Linked DNA regions of Ovis aries. The protein of the gene in region 1 binds, or shares a complex with, the protein of each later gene. Links are inferred from orthologs where the notes say so. Each region holds a gene or a part of one and is shown on either strand. Other genes may lie near its edges. The genes, in order: RGS7, GPR158 and GNB5.

Evidence for each region.
Region 2: the proteins of RGS7 (region 1) and GPR158 are in contact, whole or in part, in a cryo-EM structure (PDB 7SHF), measured with the Homo sapiens proteins. The link is inferred for Ovis aries from reciprocal best matches to the Homo sapiens genes RGS7 and GPR158. Residues at the interface, in NP_001351815.1 of Homo sapiens: Gln35, Ile43, Ser55, Arg109, Phe110, Thr112, Pro113, Tyr114, Phe115, Lys134, Thr136, Lys140, Ala141, Arg142, Leu143, Leu145, Ala146, Asp147, Ala150, Leu153, Gln157, Trp164, Phe168, Met169, Gln170, Glu172, Ala173, Gln174, Lys176, Val177; in NP_065803.2 of Homo sapiens: Leu507, Lys508, Phe510, Leu511, Arg513, Thr514, Tyr595, Tyr598, Ala599, Thr602, Val603, Pro604, Ile714, Arg715, Leu718, Lys719, Tyr722, Leu725, Glu726, Tyr728, Lys729, Arg730, Met733, Ile734, Thr735, Asn736, Asn737.
Region 3: the proteins of RGS7 (region 1) and GNB5 are in contact, whole or in part, in a cryo-EM structure (PDB 7EWP), measured with the Homo sapiens proteins. The link is inferred for Ovis aries from reciprocal best matches to the Homo sapiens genes RGS7 and GNB5. Residues at the interface, in NP_001351815.1 of Homo sapiens: Pro19, Leu22, Val23, Lys26, Val30, Ile72, Val76, Glu77, His80, Leu81, Leu84, His88, Val207, Asp213, Ile214, Lys215, Lys216, Leu258, Gln261, Ile262, Trp265, Gln266, Gln268, Leu269, Arg271, His272, Arg273, Leu274, Lys275, Met276; in NP_057278.2 of Homo sapiens: Leu57, Glu60, Ala61, Glu62, Leu64, Lys65, Leu68, Glu71, Lys74, Leu75, His76, Asp77, Val78, Glu79, Leu80, Val83, Leu90, Phe93, Arg98, Arg99, Leu109, Lys117, Arg118, Ser134, Phe135, Trp149, Met151, Leu167, Tyr197, Ser206.

What each region holds. Positions count from the first base shown.
Region 1 is NC_056065.1:34,681,048-34,685,206, forward strand, and holds the start of RGS7 (regulator of G-protein signaling 7), read left to right. Parts: upstream 1-1,309; 5' UTR 1,310-1,462; intron 1,463-2,692; 5' UTR 2,693-2,743; coding exon 2,744-2,821; intron 2,822-4,159. UniProt on the Homo sapiens protein: GTPase activator component of the RGS7-GNB5 complex that regulates G protein-coupled receptor signaling cascades.
Region 2 is NC_056066.1:25,497,351-25,501,001, forward strand, and holds part of GPR158 (metabotropic glycine receptor), read left to right. Parts: intron 1-944; coding exon 945-1,168; intron 1,169-3,651. UniProt on the Homo sapiens protein: Metabotropic receptor for glycine that controls synapse formation and function in the brain. Acts as an atypical G-protein coupled receptor that recruits and regulates the RGS7-GNB5 complex instead of activating G proteins.
Region 3 is NC_056060.1:56,359,211-56,361,880, forward strand, and holds part of GNB5 (guanine nucleotide-binding protein subunit beta-5), read left to right. Parts: intron 1-609; coding exon of another isoform or gene 610-660; exon of another isoform or gene 661-821; coding exon 822-918; intron 919-1,800; coding exon 1,801-1,967; intron 1,968-2,670. UniProt on the Homo sapiens protein: Enhances GTPase-activating protein (GAP) activity of regulator of G protein signaling (RGS) proteins, such as RGS7 and RGS9, hence involved in the termination of the signaling initiated by the G protein coupled receptors (GPCRs) by accelerating the GTP hydrolysis on the G-alpha subunits, thereby promoting their inactivation.

The DNA.
Region 1 (4,159 bases):
AAGCAGGTTTTGGCTACAATAAGAAAGTTAAGGACATATTTAGCAAAGAAGTTGAAAAAGTGGCAATTTTTCTGAAAAAGATCACAATTTCTAGAGCACACCATGGAAAGATTTTGGGAACTGGGGAAGAGAGGGAGATGGTCAGACTAGGGTGTGTGTAACATAGTTTGGGCTAGGAATCTCTGCCCTGTATTATTCAGAATACAGGGTAGGTTGAAAAAAAGACATGTTCCCTGGTTAAAACCTGACAGGAGCCAGGTGGGACTGAGGAAATGCACTTGAGGACACGTCCTGGGTTTACTTTGACGGGCTCTCCTGACCAGCTGTAAGTTCCATTTTTATCTAGGAGGTTAGGAAGAGGCTAGCTTGATTATTTTCTGTTTCTCCCCCACACCTGGCCCAGCTGTGGAAGGAAAACCTCAGATATTTTTAACTGCACGACCCTGCCCCTGAAAGCCAGACACACAGCGTTCTTTACTATAATTGGGACAAAAGTGATTTTTCTTCTTAATGTCACGCTAATCCTTACAGAAGAACTAGTGACAGCACCCTGAAGAATAATTATGCGGAAATCATCACTCCGCCCTCATTCTTTGAAAACTGCTGGAGGGTGAGAGTTAAGTGGGTGACAGGTCCTCCGAGCATCTCTTGTCTAAAAGAGAAACCAGATACTGTGACTATACCTTCACTGTAACAGGTGGCAAGATGTGCACTTCGAGTTGGCCGTCTCCAAATCGTTTCCCATTTCTAACTTAGGGGGAAGCTGTGAAATTTGCAGGCAAACGAGCTGAATGACTCATTTGATCCTGGACATTTCTTTCACTCCTAGGATGTCTCAATATCTCTCTACTCCCGTTTTTAAAGCACAACGATAATCAGTCATCGGCTACCCTCGCACTGTCAGCGTAGTCACCGGGCACGTGACCAAACGGGCCCGCCGCAAGGGGCTACCTCCATTCCTGCATGCCTCCATCCATCCATCCACCCACCTACCCATCGCCCTTTCTGTTCTCCGGCTTAACACTCCCATCTCCAGGCCTTCAGCGGCGCGCACACTGGCGAGCCGGGTGTGCAAGGGCCCGGGTTGCACGCGCTTGGGGGCAGGGCGGCCACTTTCTCTGCCCGAGACGGTGGGGCGGCGGAGGAGACAGGGCAGCGAGGCCGCGCGGAGCCGAGCCCCCCCAACCCCGCCCGGCTCCCCTCCCCGAGCCGGCACCTAGGGACGCCGGGTCCCACGTGACAGTCCCCTCCTCCCTCCCCAGTCGCGCGCACGGGCCGGGCGTCTCGGTCCCGCGCGCGCTCGTGGTCCGGGAGTCCGGGAGCCAAGCGAAGGAGGGAGCGGTGGAGCGCGGGCCGTCAGAGCCCTGTGCCCGCGCGGAGGTGATGAAGCTGGCCGCGCGCTGACACCGCCGCACCCAGCCGCCGGGAAGCAGGCGCCTCGGGCCGCGACCTTGAGGAGGAGGTACGAGGCTGGGCACGGGGATGGGGGTGGGTTGGGGTGGGGGCGGAGGTCGGAGGCGGTGCCCCGGAGCCCCGCGCCCGGGTCCGCGGGGCTGACACCGCCGCCGGCCCGGCTCCAGTGCGCGGCTCGGGCTCGCCTGCCATTTGCTGCCGCCGCAGGCGAGCCGGGCTTGCTTGTTTTCCCCTGTCTCTGCCTGGTCGCTCCGAGGCTTCCGCAGTTGGCGCTGCTCACGGTGACCCAGGTAATTGCCTGAAGGGCCGACCTCCCACCTGGTCTTGTTGCCAGGACACCTTCTCTGCCTTCTGGCCGGGGTTGGGCAGGGTTACGCCGTGACTTCCGAAGCCGAGTTGGGCCGAGGGGAGAAGCAGCAGTGGCCGGGCAGTGCAGGCAGGTGAAAGTCGAGGAAGCTCCCTTGACTCTGTGCGGGAGACCTAGGGGAATGAAGAGGAAACACATGACTGGAGAATGGCCCAGGAATGGGCCTCTGATGCGCTAGCATGCGGGGAAACTAGACAGACACCTGGGAGAAAGTGCTGCCACAGGGTGTTGCCTTTTTAACCATTCGGGGAGGGAGGGGGAACACCATCCGGTGGAGATGCAAGTATTGGGAGAGAAGAGAACTCTGTAGGATGGAAATGGTAACCGTTTTTTTTTTTTTTTTCCCCTCTCCAGTGAGCCTCAAACACTTTAAAAAATGAATATCCAGAAAATCAAGTCAATTAAAACCCTAGTCAAGTGACAATTTTAACTAAAAGATTGTCATTTCTTAAAATTTCCTGGGAGGACTGTAGGTGTAAGTTCTTTTTTTTTTTTTTTTTTTTTAATCTGTTTCTGTGCTACTTTCTACAAGCCAGCCCCAGCATATAAGCATGCTCCAATGTTGGATGAGGGAGATGAATCAAGAGTCAACCTTCTTGGATAGTTAGGGAGTTTGGAATAGTCATGTACACGCTGCTGTATTTAAAATAGATAACCAACAAGGACCTATTGAACAGCAAATGGAACTCTGCTCAATCTTATGTGCCTGCCTGGATGGGAGGGGGTACCTGGGGGAGAATGGATACATGTATATATATGACTGAATAGCTTCACTGTTCACCTGTAACTACCACAACATGGTTAGTCGGCTGTACTCCCATACAAAGTAAAAAGTTTGAAGTTTGGAAAAATAAGAGTCAACCTTCTTAAGTACTACCATTAAGAACTCACTGAAGTCTCTGTCTCTTGCAGGGTAGACTGATAATTCCTGTATCTGAGAGTGGACCACGGGTGTGTGGTGACATGGCCCAGGGGAATAATTATGGACAGACCAGCAATGGGGTGGCAGATGAATCACCCAACATGCTGGTGTACAGAAAGGTAAGGATTTCTTCACTTTCCTGGAAAAAGGGAAACTTCTGGCTTCTTTGAATATTTCTTTTCCCCCTCAGATCAGAGTATCTATCAATTTTGTGACCTTAGGGATTCTCCAAATCCCAGATGACTGCACATTGTACTTGAGGATGAGCTGACATTCATATGTGTAATGCATATGTGTAGAGACATAGTGAAATACATGAGGCTACTGATACTCTGTTCTCACACTTTCCCAGTGGATCCTACATGGATGAAGCTGCAGGCAGCAGCAGCAGCAGCAGCAGCAGCAAATTTGGACATCCCACATATTTTGTTGGTCACATACAGGATTTTATAGCATCTGTAATAGTTTTTAAAAGCTTTTTTTCTAATACTCCTCCTAAGCATTTGGGTTGTAATGATCATGCAGATGTATAACATTTTAGAAATGAATGAAGACTACATTGCATTCCTGGGGCAAGAGTGAATGTGGCTATGTCTGTATGGTTGGTTTAATAATTTTGCTTCTAACTAAATAATTCCAGTTTCTTTTTTTAAATCTTAGCTTAAGGTATTTTTTACTTTGTGTTATTTTTATAATTTTACTTATGGGTATTTATGTTCTAGTGCCATATGCCCATTAAGTAAATCTTTATATTTTAGAAGCTTTTTTTCCTCCAAACTAATCTGGCAGCTTTATGCATTTTATAACGATGCTGTCAATACCAAACGTTTAGATATTGAGCCACCATAATAAAGGTGTATTTGAATATTGTATGTGCTTCAGAGTGGTTGCTTAGGTAAATTCTTTCTGCTTAGAATCAATAATCTGACTAAAATTAAGGAAGCATCATTCTTCATTTAAATGCTGGTACAGAAATTACTGCATTTTCTGGGGGATTATTTTTCTTTATCATATTATCTGTAGTGCTTGTTGGGGTAGGATTTCTTTAGTTAACACTAGCAGTGGTAAAAAGGAGGTTGGGCCTGGAAACCAAGAAAACTGTTAACGACTTTAATTAGTGTGACCCCATTGAAGAGTCTAGGATGAGTTTACTAGAGGATCAGAACTGGTTATGGAGAAAGATGAAACGCTTTCCACCTTGACCTGTACTAAATTCAGACTTTCCTTCAGTGTGGCCCAGTGTCATTAACAGGTGCTGATGATATGTGTTTGCAGAAATCTTGTTATTGTTTCTGTGTGAATATGCATGGATATCCTGATGATGCTAACCTTGTAAACTATAGTATGTTGTGTACCTGTGAATGGAGGGGTGTCTGTGTGTGTGTCACAGCACAGTAAAACTTTTTCTTCACAGGGAAAAAAATTGCCTATTTTAGTCTTAAAGCATCCCGACTGGA
Region 2 (3,651 bases), on another chromosome or scaffold:
GAGACCCAAGAGACATGGGTTCATTCCCTGAGTTGGGAAGACCCCCTGGAGGAGGGCATGGCAGTCCACTTCAGTATTCTTGCCTGGAGAATCCCATGGACAGAGGAACCTGGAGGACTATAGTCTATGGAGTCACAAAGAGTTGGCCATGACTGAAGTGATGTAGTATGCAAACTCAACATTTAAAGAGGATTCTTACTTTTGGGCTTCAGGGCTAAGTTAAGTTTGATAACCAAGACACAAGAATCCAAAATTAAAGGTAGATCAGTAACAGCAGTTAGTTGATAGTGTGGAAATGTCCTATGGGTGTGCAGAGGGGGAAATTACATGATAGCCTGTAAGTATGGATTGTCCTCTGGGCAGAGGATGCACCATCATTAGGCAATTGCACACTGAACAACTGTTGATTAAGTACCATTTTATCCAATTTAGACCTAATGAACTTGGTGGATGAAATCCCTGCTGGATTAAAGAGCAATCAAAGCCTCATTTCAGATTCTGTGCCATCTAGGTCAAGAGGTTCCAAAAGTGTTGTGTATATTTATTTACTTGGTACAGGAATGACACAACTTTCTCATCCTTTTTTTTTCTGGTTAATTCTTTAGCAAATATTTCTAGAATATGCTTTGTGACCATAGGGAATTTCCATTAGGGAGTGGAAAATAGTGAAATAAAAGACAGAAAACTGTTCCCTGCCTCTGAGGAGTTTAATTCCATTTTTGCTAATTTTCCTCAGTTGTTCTGAATAACTTTTTTTTTTTTTATCAAAAGGATGAAAAGAATTCTGTTTGAGCCTAAAGGCAAAGAAACTCTCTCACTGAGTAAGAAGGTTGAAGAAAGGTTTTTAGTTAGAGGGAAAATGAATGAAGAAGTGAGGATGTATTTTGACTCTGTCTCACCTACCTCCAAGGTGCAGTGACACTGGTTTTATTTGGAATTTTCAGGAAGGGGTCCAGATCACCGTTTTGTAGAAAGTGCCAGGGATGTGTCAGAAGAAGTCCACGTCTGCCTGCCATGCAGCGAGGGCTGCCCCTACTGTGCTGACGACAGGCCCTGCTTTGTCCAGGAAGATAAGTACTTGCGACTGGCTATCATCTCCTTTCAAGCCCTGTGTATGCTGCTGGACTTCGTGAGCATGCTGGTGGTCTACCGTTTTCGCAAAGCCAAGGTAAACCCAGGTACCCTGGTTATGATCTTCCTTTTTACTATGAACCGACCTCTTCTTAGGCAAATAGAATTGTTCCAAATCCTAATGGCTTCTCTATTAAGCCAAAGTCTTTCTATAATACGACTAGAGTATGAAAGTTATATTCCTTAGCTTCTCAGGAGAAACAGGAATTGAAAATATGAAACTTTATTATAACAATTTCTCCTGCAGAATGTTTCTCCCTGTTTAGCCTGAAGCTCAAAAACCTCAAAAGATTCTTTTATATCATCTCCTTGGCTTCTTGAAGAATTTCTTTAGCCAGTTCCCAATATAGCATTAATTTTTTTCATGTGTAGAAAGATTTGTGATATTTATTGCTTTTCACGGATAAGTGTGCAGGCTCTAAAACCAGATTATTTAGTCTCGTTATGAGTATCTTAAGTTCGACGAGGTTTGCTTATGCCTAACATATCAACTCTATAGTTGGTGGGTACCAGCAATCACTGGTCAAAGGTTACTTAATATTGTATCATTTTAAACACAAACTAGATTCTGCTATGTTTTTGGTTAAGGCTGATGATACAATACCACAGAGTAAATTAAATTTCTGTGGACAAACATTTAAGGAAATAATTATATGCATTTGTCCTGGGTTAAAGAATAAATCTGTCAATAAACTGTGAGTGATTTTGAGCTCAGCAAGTTCTTCTAAAGCAGTGGCAATTTTTAAAATAGTATTTGAAATATCCTGAATATTAAATATTTAGAAATTATCTTTTTTTTTAACCAAATATTATGACAAGTCACATCTTTTCCTATTAGCTATTCTGAAGAGAGAGCATAGCTTCTTACAGCTTAATAATGTGAAGTGTTAGTACAATTTATTTTTGAGTGAAAATTTCTAAGAAAGAAGGTATACTGGAAGGTACAGCAGCTTCTTCCACTTCTGAAAATAATCTTTTGCTTGATTTATTCTTAGTACTATTTTAACATGTTTTGTTTGAGCTCAGTGGTTTGGAAAAAATAGTGATAGTCATTTTTTAAAGGGAACATACTACAGTTTATATTTTCCCTTCCAGTCCTGTAATAATTTCTTTTTTTAATTTAGAAATTAATTGACAAGTGATTTTATAAGTGCTCATTTTTGGTTTGGAAAATTAGATGTTTTAATGTAGAATGTGGCTGAAATTCTGCTAAAGTAATTATGATGTTCTAATGCTTATTTTGGTGCGAAAAGGAGAACTATATTATTTTTTTTAATTGTAAAATACACATAACATAACATTTACCATCTTTAACTGTACAATTAAGTGGCATTAAATGCATTCACATCACTGTGCAGTCATCACCACTATTCACTTCCAGAACCTTTGCATCATCCCAAACCAAACTCTGTAACCATTAAAAAACTCCCTGTTCTCCTAATCCCTGGTAACCTTTGTTCTACTTTCTGGTCTCTATAAATGTGTCTTTTCAGAGTACCTCATATAAGTGGACTTTTATACCATTTGTCTTTTTGTGTTTGGCTTATTTCACCTACCATATTTGTTTATGTTGTAGCGTGTATCAGAACTTCATTTCTTTTGGTGGTTTAGTTGCTAAGTCATGTCCGACTCTTGCAACCTCATCGACTGTAGCCCACCAGGCTCCTCTGTCCATGGAATTTTCCAGTCAAGAATACTGGAGTGGGTTGCCATTTCTTTTTCCAGGGGATCTTGCCTGACCCAGGGATGAAACCCTGCATTGCCTTGCATTGCCTGTATTGCAGGCAGATTCTTAACTGACTGAGCCACCTAGTGCTCATTTCTTTTCACTGATGAGTAATATTGGAAAAGACCCTGATGCTGGGAAAGACTGAGGGCAAAAGGAGAAGGGGGCAGCAGAGGATGAGATGGTTAGATAGCATCATTGACTCAATGGACATGAATTTGGGCAAACTCCAGTAGATAGTGGAGGACAGAGGAGCCTAGTGTGTTACAGTCCATGGGGTTGCAACTATTTTCCACAGAGGCCAGACAACTTGATATTTTCACCAACAGTTCATGAGGGTTCCAATTCCTTTGCATCCTCACCAGCACTCACTATTTTCTGGGTTTTTTTTTTTTCCTGTTTGTTTGTTTGTTTTATAATAACCATCCTAATCAATCTGAAGTGAATTCTCATTGTAGTTTCGATTTGCATTTTCCTACAGGTTACTGGCAGTCTAGCATTTTTTCATGTGCTTTTTGGTATATCTTCTTTGCAGAAATGTCTATTCGAGTCTTCTGTTCACTTTTGAATTGGTTGGTGGTTCATTGCTGAGTTGTAGGAGTTCTTCACGTATTCTGAATATTACACGTATCACATAGATGCCTTGCAAACATTTTCTTCCATCCCATGGGTTATCTTTTAACTCTCCTTTGATGCCTGAAAGTTTTAAGCTCTAATGGACTCCAATTACCTATGTTTTCTTTGATTGCCTGTACTTTTGGTGTCATATCTGAGAAATCATTCCCAAAGCTAAT
Region 3 (2,670 bases), on another chromosome or scaffold:
CTAAGTAGATTCTGATACATCCACATGAGGAATATAACAACCACATTAATCCCATTTTTTGAAGATTATTAATGATATTAGAAAATGTTCATAACATCGTGCTAATTGGAACAATAATGAAACATTCACCCCATTTAAATCCACACATAAAATAGATTAAGACTGGGACTTCCCTGATGGTCCAGTAGCTAAGACTCCGAGCTCCCAATGCACAGGTCGTGGGTTTGATCCCTGATAAGGGAACTAGATCTCACATGTTGCAATTAAAGATGCTGTATGCTCCGGGAGTTGGTGATGGACAGGGAGGCCTGGCGTGCTGTGATTCATGGGGTCGCAAAGAGTCGAACACGACTGAGCGACTGAACTGAACTGAACTGATGCCACAATAAAGACTGAAGACCCTGTGTGTGCCACAACTAAGACTTGTTGCAGCCAAATAAGTAATTATTTTTTTAAAAAGTAGAATAAGACTGAAGGAAATAGCCAGGTGTTAGTAAATATCTCTAGGATTTCCTTCTTTATGCATTTCTGAGATTTTCTGAATTTTCTACAAAGAACACATATTACTTATCAGAAAAAAAGGCTTACATTTTGTTTTTTGTACTAAAGAAATCTGCATTTGCTGTTTCTTCGAATCTCCAGTGCTTCGTGGGGATATAAGAATTGGGATTGAGGAAGAAAATACTGAGAGAAAACGAAAGGTTTTTCCCCTTGACCCTCAAACCACACAAGCTACCAGCACCTGCCTGTAGCTCTGTGATCACTGATGCACCAAACAGGACCCAGAAACAAGTGGCTCTTTGTCCTCTTTGTCACCCCAGTGTCGCCTCTATGACCTCCGGGCAGACAGGGAGGTCGCCATCTATTCCAAAGAGAGCATCATCTTTGGAGCTTCCAGCGTGGACTTCTCCCTCAGTGGTAAGGTTTTCCTGGGACTGTGAAACAGGACCTCAGAGAATCCGGCAAGCTTCCCCTCAGCTGAACTTCCTAGGCTCCACCTGCCAAGAGTCTACACCTGCATGGTTTTCCTCCAATGCATTTTTGACACCACATTTTGCCCAACCTGAGGCAGCTTCCCCAGCCCATAAGTGAAGGCTGGGCCCATCTAACACTCTTCTTCAGAACAATGGTATATCAGAACTCTATCTGCTATGCCTTTAGGCATTTCCTATCCAGCCTTCCATTTTCCCTTTCACACTTGAAAAGGGACTTTTTTCAGAGGTGGAGGGAGTGAATCGAGAGAGTCCCCTTCTTGATGCCCCGAAGCTCACGTCACCTCTGCCTTCACAGCTCGAGAGGCTACCAGGGGAACTTAGGGCAGTGCTGGCATATTGTGTCAGTGGACCGTTCAGTTCTCCCAGACACCTTCCAGCCATGCAGCTGTGCCTTTGTGCTGCTGCTGCTGCCTGGAACATCATTTTCCCTTCCTTCTCTGCATGGCAAACTCCTATTCAACCCTCAAAGGCCAACACAAATAGTGCTTCTCCCATAGTATCCTCTTTGATCCCCTTTCCTCTGTGATCACATAGCACTTTACACATAGCTGAGCACTTCCATTACAGCCCCTTCCACATGGTGCTGCAGTGATACAGGAGTCAGCCTGCCCACCGTCACCCTCCACAGGGGCCAGCAACTGTGCTTTCTCCTCTTTGAATCCCCAGGGCAAACCACAGTGCCTGGCACATAGTGGGCTCTAAAGCACTGTTTATTGAATGAATGAATGAATGAGCACATGAATCAGAGTCATGAAAAGAAAAAGGAAGGAACTGGTTGAGTAACCATCTTACCTCTTGCTTTAAGGTCGCCTGCTGTTTGCTGGATACAATGATTATACCATCAATGTCTGGGATGTCCTCAAGGGGTCTCGAGTCTCCATCTTGTTTGGACATGAAAACCGTGTTAGTACTCTACGAGTTTCCCCTGATGGGACTGCCTTTTGCTCAGGATCATGGGATCATACCCTCAGAGTAAGAGAGGCTTTTCTACTTTACTGTGTGTGTGAGAGCAGGAGTGATTGGTCTTCTTGAAAGCAGAGAGGTCAGAGTAAGCTAGGACGGGCCTAGGCAGCCAAAGAGAGCTCTAATTTCAAACCTATAGCCACAGAGGGATGATTTGCCTTGGGAGGTAGTGAGTCTCCCATCAATGCAGGTATTCCAGCACAGATACCCTAAAAGTCTGTTCCAGCCTGTGACAAATCCAATTGCCAATCTCACCTCCCACGAGCACCAGGGTCCTTATCCCAGTCACAGACCCCTGTGAAGTCCACACAGAGGCTTCAAGAGACCTATGAAGTCCATGCAGTTACATGCTAAATTGTGTATATGTGTGCATTTTTCCAGGAATAGTGTCCTCATGGCTTTATTAGATGCTCAAAGAGCTCCATGACTGTGTCAGGTGTTGGCTCCCTAGAAATGCCACCAAAATAACTGTTCAGCAAGTAAAACTCACTTCACTATGGAAGATCACAGACTCGACAGTCTTATTAGCATTTCAGAAGGAGAGAGCAAAGGCAGATATTATCTGCCAAAGGTTTTAGGGGTCTGATTGAAGGTAAATCTTTTGATGGAGGGATTTAAGTAGGATTGAACAAATTTGGGGCATAGCTTAAGACTGCTGGACACAGGGTCAGGGGAGGGAGAGAATTTCAAAGACTATCTAGAAAAGTAGCTG